Linked DNA regions of Saccharomyces cerevisiae S288C. Changing the gene in region 2 together with the main gene of any one other region gives a genetic interaction. Each region holds a gene or a part of one and is shown on either strand. Other genes may lie near its edges. The genes, in order: YHB1 and HBN1.

Region 1 (3,862 bases), on a different chromosome or scaffold from region 2:
GGGGTCTTGTTGTTTTGCGTATGCAATGCCAACAACCTTCAGGAACACCATGGGTCTCATCCATAATCTAGAAATGAACACCTTTCCACACTTTACCGAAAGACAAGATCGTGTTTGGAAAGAAACAAAGAGATTAAGTACCGCGTCTGTGCAATACTACTATGATGCCAAAAAATGGTTGAACAAAGATGTAGAAAAAACAGGGAATGCAATCAAAAATTGGACTGGCGTTAACGTGAAGTGAACTCTGTTTAGCACCTGGCGCTTATTCATCTTATAAATACATACACAATCTTTACTTACTATCTAAATATTCCACATAGGATTTCACAAGGATTTCACGAGGATTTCTAACACAGTATAACAACAAAAGATTAGCAATGGTCTCATGTTTTAAAAATTTTTCTTATTTCGTAATATAACTTCTCAAACTGTGAAATCGAACAAGTGAAATTATCAAATGAATCAGTAATAAAATTGAAGTTTCCGAGGCTTAACGCCTAAACTTGCACGGTTGACATCTTTGGACCAAATGGTTCATAGTGAATCATATCATCACGATGCTCTAGTTCTTTTAGATGACCAATCATAGCTTGCATAAAAGCTAAAGAGCCGCAAGTGTAGACATCGGCATGCGCAGGTGACTTTTCCTTCAAGAATGCAGCATTAATCAGTGGTTCAGTATCAGTATGAACAATTATTTTGTCGACATTCGCACATTCAGCTAATAGTTCATCTACATGTTTTTTGAATGCTTGAGTCTTTTCATCATAGGAAGATTGAATCCAGTAAATTGGCCTATTTGGGTTGCATTTGACTTGTTCTTCTAACATAGCTAAAAGTGGTGTAACACCAACACCAGACGATAGTAACACCAATGGAACTTCGTTTTGGTGTATCAACTCTTTATTTATTGCGAAATCACCAGCCGGAGCACTAAGCTTAATTTCATCACCAACTTTAGCGTCCTTGTGTAAATATTCAGAGACTAATCCTGCAGGAAAATTTTCTCTGGCAGCTTCCATCTTTACTGCAAATCGTAAACCATTTTTAGTTGAAGCAGAACAAAGAGAGTAGTGTCTTAAAGCGTCGTATTGGTTTTCCTGTCTAATTGGGTGAGTGTTTACCGTAATATACTGACCTGGAGTGATTGGCAAGCTTTCCAATTCAATACCAGAACCGAACTTTGGCTTAACAGTAAATTCAACAATATCTGAAGCAACGTACTCTTTGGCAGTAATGTCAAATGGTTTCCAACCTGGCCATAAAGCTTCTTCGTACATTTTTTTTTCAACAGTGATGAAGATGTCAGCAATTGCTTGGTAAGCCTCGCCCCATGCATTAATTATCTCTGGAGTCGCAGCATCGCCTAAAACTTCCTTGATTGCTTTTAACAAGTACTCACCAACGATTGGATAATGCTCAGGTTTAATTTGCAAGGCACGATGCTTGTGGCCAATTTGCTTGACATGGTCCATAAGCACAGACAAATCGTCAATGTTCTTAGCCGCTGCCAAAACAGTAGTGGCCAAGGCATTTGGTTGTGCGCCAACCTTTTGATTAGTTCTGTTAAAAATATTAAGTAATTCGGTGTGTTCAGTAAGCATATTTTTGTAGAATGTACGCGTGATGACAGTGCCCTGCTGTTCCAAAACAGGAACGGTTGCTTTGATTATGGAACGGGTTTTTTCGGCTAGCATAATGAATAAAGTCTTTGTGTGGTTTGTTGAAAATGGTAAAAAATGAACAAGAATATACTGTATAAGAAAAATCAAGTCTCCACCTCAACCCACAATATTGTTATATATATATATATATATATATTTCCGTGTGTGTACAACATATTTCATCAGTAGTCTTGTACTTGACCACACACGGAACTGAAATGAAACTTTAACGGCAACAATTCAATAATAGTTGCTCTTAGATCTCCGTACAAGGAATGGTTAATTTCCGTATTTTCAGGTGGCATCAATACCATAATGTGTGAGTGCCAGCAAAAGATAGTTTTACAGGCGGTTCCTGCATTGCTTTCTGAGAGGGATGATCTGAAAACTATCCGTCGAAGACGCATAAGCGCGTCCGCTATTTTAGTAACGATTAGTAATCGAGCATTTAAAATTGACATTATTGGATAAAAAGAATACGTTATATCGGCCGGAGGATCCAACTTTAGTAGAAATAGAAAGATTTGCCGCGCAGACTATCATTTTCAGTTTAAATCCTCCACAGTATCAGAGTAGGCATCAAGGATGCCTTCCTTTGCTGGTACTCTGGGAAAATGTACCAGTTGGCAACGCAGGCGAACCAATAAACGAAGATTTCGGTCATTTGTTTTGCCGTCTGACCTTCTCAATTAGATTATGTCTTGGCAATTATACGAAGCTTGTGATTTTAAAAATGAGCCATGAGCTTGTTCGGAGAAGAGTCGCCTAAGGTACAGTGTGCACAGTTTTGCTTTTCAACGATGAATGCTTGAGCGTGGCGAAGAAAACCTTGCGGGCTTTTCGAAAATGTAAGGAATAAAAATGAAGTTTCCTGATTTATAAGCAAGCAATCACTGAACGAGAATATCTTGTAGTTAAGTGACTATCAAACGAGCATGAGGGTTACAAAGAACTTCCGTTTCAAAAATGAATATAATCGTACGTTTACCTTGTGGCAGCACTAGCTAACGCTACGTGAATGAACGTACCGTGCCCTATTATTCTTGCTTGTGCTATCTCAAGAATTGCATTTTGTAATAACAACTGCATGGGAAAAATTATATAGATTTTCTACTATTATGTCCGCCTAAGTCAGTTAACCATCTTTATCACAAAATATACAATTAACCAACTACTTAATCAATTCGGTTATATTGCTTAGTATATACGTCTTTGGCACGCGATTGAAACGCGCTAATTGCATCAGCCTATCTTTCTATGCAAGAATGCAAGAAAAATTGATGTGATGTGCCTTATCACAATTCATTACCTCCTATTTCCTCTGCAGCAACAAGTTTCCTTGATTATAAAGGTCTTTAGCGTGAGAGGTACAGGTGTTATGGCACGTGCGAATAAGGGCAGAAATTAATCAAATTTATCAACTATTTGGCGATGGCTCGAGACAGGTATAGAACCACTACTAGGTGATATTGAGGCTTTTGTACAATTTATAGCAAGTTTTTGAGAGTCCCTTCAAGTTTGTTACATAATCTTCTTTGTGCAACGTACAAGAGCAAAGTAGAAAAATTTGGTTTTTATTTTTTTAAGCAACATCAGCTGCACTAGTTGAGCTTTTGACAAGACATACTGCTCAAAAAATCTTCATAACATTATTTTTCGGTTCCACAGTGATTGAGCTTTTTGAGAGAATAACCCTTTGGAGGCAACATAGATAGATAAACGTGCAATGAAATTCGGCAAGTATTTGGAAGCCAGGCAGTTGGAACTGGCGGAGTACAACAGCCATTTTATTGATTATAAGGCTCTAAAGAAACTTATCAAACAATTGGCCATTCCCACGCTAAAGGCTAGTTCAGATTTAGATTTGCATTTAACATTAGATGACATCGACGAAAAAATTATACATCAGAGACTGCAAGAAAATAAAGCTGCCTTTTTTTTTAAACTAGAGAGGGAGCTGGAAAAAGTAAATGGTTATTATTTGGCGAGAGAGTCCGATTTAAGAATAAAATTCAATATATTACACTCAAAATATAAAGATTATAAGATAAATGGTAAGCTAAACTCAAACCAAGCTACCTCATTTAAAAACTTATATGCGGCTTTCAAAAAGTTTCAAAAGGATCTTAGAAATTTGGAGCAGTATGTTGAGTTAAATAAAACGGGATTTTCAAAAGCTCTGAAGAAATGGGACA
Region 2 (2,958 bases):
CAGAAGAGGTTTGATTTCATCCGCATATGCAATTTTGCCTTAGTAGGGGTGCAACCGTTTTCGTCGTGCATCAGGAACGATCTTCTTGCCTTTTTTAAAAATCTACGTTAAGAATTTTTAATTTTGTTAAGGTGTAATTAGCATTAGAATGACTGAAGCATTCAGTTTAACCAACTTGTTCTGCGATATTTTTACTTCTGAAATAACAATGTCTGCGAGTGTTACTTGATTATTAATCAATATTTGTCAATGCTCTTCCGAATAATTTTTCAATTTGTCAGCTTTGCTCTGCGCTTTTCCTTACTGCGACAATAAATGGCAAAGGAAAAAAAAATACAGTGTCATTTGCAGATATGACACACTTTAACACCTGAGTGGGTCATCACTACTTTGTGTTTGTCTCCACCCATGTTGTGATCGAAGAGAGATATAAAGGTTGATCATTTTTGGTTTTTTAAAGCTATATACACCATCAAAATCAAGAACACCAGACCTCCAAGCCAAAGAAATGTCCCCAACTGGAAACTACTTAAACGCTATTACAAACCGTCGTACCATCTACAATTTGAAGCCCGAATTACCACAAGGTGTCGGTTTGGATGATGTAAAGAGAACTGTACACGTTATTCTCAAGAATACGCCAACAGCTTTTAACTCACAAGTGAATCGCGCTGTCATTATCGTTGGTGATACACACAAAAGGATATGGGATGCTGTTGCGAGCGCAATGCCAACTGCTGAAGCCAAGAAGAGACCAGAGTCTTGCAGAGATGAGGCTTACGGTTCAGTCATTTTCTTCACTGATGAAGGACCAACTGAAAAACTGCAAAGAGATTTTCCAGCCTTGGCAGCCGCTTTCCCAACATGCGCCGCTCATACGACCGGTGCTGTGCAAATTCAGTCTTGGACTGCCCTCGAACTATTGGGATTGGGGGCTAATTTGCAACACTATAATGACTACGTCAAATCTGCTTTGCCTCAAGATGTTCCTATTGCGTGGACTGTACAATCTCAATTGGTCTTTGGTGTTCCAACTGCCTTGCCAGAAGAAAAGACTTTTATCAATAACGTAATCAACGTTTATCACTGAACAGGAAATTCGCATATGAGGAGATCTTAATTTATCTCATGAAGTAATGATACCTCAGCGATGTGCTCGCTCGTTAGTATGCTTCATAAATTCATTATTATTTTTTTTTGGAAGTGTTTTTCGACAAAAGTTGCATTTTTACGAAGGATATGTAAACTCAAGAAGTACTAAATAAATATAAATACAATTCGAAAATTTGAAAAAAGTAGGAGACAACACTTTCCTTCCTCACGAAGAAGTTAAGCTTGGGTTTGTGACTTACTAACGTCAACGTACAATCGCGTTACAAACAAGATGCTTGCATTCTTACCTTACATTACAAGGACTTAGACGAAGAAAAAGTTCAGAAACACTGCTTACACTATTCACCAGACCCGCTCCTTCTCCTAACATCAATAACGAACAGCACTATTGATGTAAGAACGTCTTAGCTTAGTAATAAAGCTCTACCTTGTTATCGTACAATAATCCAGTATACCGCTTTTACTAATGATTATTCGAGAAAAATCGGACTGTGGCGTTTTACGTGAAAATTACGTAAAGAAAAAGATCCTGGGGTGCCTCGAGCTTTTCGGGCTAGGGTCTTGGCATTTGCACCTTGTCCAAACTACAGTATATAAGGACACCATACTGAAGGAACTGACTACATAATTTGTACTTTTTTCGTAGACTGAAGTATCCTATATCAACATATATACAAAAAAACAATCCAATATCATGTCTGCTGTTGCAACTTATTTGAAAACTTTAACTGCTCGTCGTACTATTTACGCTTTGAAACCGGAGTTACCTGGTGAAATTACTATCAACGACATCCAATCCGTCGTCCAAACCATCATTAAAGAAACACCCACCGCTTTCAACTCCCAGCCAAATCGCGCTGTTATCTTGACTGGTGAAACTCACAAAAAAGTTTGGGACGAAGTGACTAAGGCTATAGAAAGCCCTGCCGGTCAAAAGAGGCCTGCTTCAGCAAGGGATGAGGCCTTTGGTTCTGTAATCTTCTTCACCGACGACAAGGTAACTGAAAAGCTAAAGGCTGACTTCCCAGCGTACGCAGCTGCATTCCCTAGTTTCGCGGACCATACCTCTGGTGCCGCTCAAATCAACTCGTGGGTTGCCTTGGAGGCAATGGGCCTGGGTGGTCACCTACAACACTACAATGGTTACATAAAAGCTGCTTTGCCAAGCAAAATCCCTGAGTCTTGGACCGTACAAGCTCAATTAGTCTTCGGTACCCCAGCCGCACCTCCAGGTGAAAAGACCTACATCAAAAACGATGTTGAAATCTTCAATTAAGGAACAGTATATAAGTACAGAATTATAGGTATAGATTAAATGCGAACGTCAATATTATTTTCATCAGTCGTATTCTTGGAGACAGTCACCAGGCACAATGCCTCTATCTTCATTGAGGTATCTTTTATCGTCAACACTGACGTGAATAGAACCCTTTTGTGTATTACACTTTTCTACCAGACACCATCCATCGGTATGAGTGGCCAGAATTTTAACTTTTTCACCCAGCGAGATTCTTATTTCGTCTGTCAATCTAGGCTCGTAATCCTGAATAACTGTATATGTCTTCCCTAATTGGACGCTAGCCTCCCCATTATATTTGGAGTTTGGAGTAAGCGGCAATGGTTTAGAACGTGACAAATGTTGTAAATGCTGATACATTTTACTTTGTCTTCTTTTTTTCCTTTTCTTTAGTGGTTTTGATGGGGTGGGTATTATCAACTCGTGTTTCTCAGTGCTTTTATTGCAGTCATGATGATCATTGAAGTTGGTTTCCAAAGTTTGTTGTGCAGTAGTACCGTATATCACTGAATGGGGTCTTGCCGTGATTAGATCGATGTTATTGTTGC

The links.
Region 1: of HBN1 (region 2) and YHB1, changing one enhances a phenotype caused by changing the other (phenotypic enhancement), as found in Saccharomyces cerevisiae (one study listed by BioGRID).

What each region holds. Positions count from the first base shown.
Region 1 is NC_001139.9:957,742-961,603, reverse strand, and holds YHB1 (flavohemoglobin), read right to left. Parts: upstream 1,701-3,862; coding exon 501-1,700; downstream 1-500. Other genes in the region: MIC26 (Mic26p), read left to right, coding at 1-244; PHO81 (Pho81p), read left to right, coding at 3,394-3,862. UniProt on the Saccharomyces cerevisiae protein: Is involved in NO detoxification in an aerobic process, termed nitric oxide dioxygenase (NOD) reaction that utilizes O(2) and NAD(P)H to convert NO to nitrate, which protects the fungus from various noxious nitrogen compounds.
Region 2 is NC_001135.5:72,836-75,793, reverse strand, and holds HBN1 (putative nitroreductase), read left to right. Parts: upstream 1-1,807; coding exon 1,808-2,389; downstream 2,390-2,958. Other genes in the region: FRM2 (type II nitroreductase), read left to right, coding at 509-1,090; FUS1 (Fus1p), read right to left, coding at 2,453-2,958.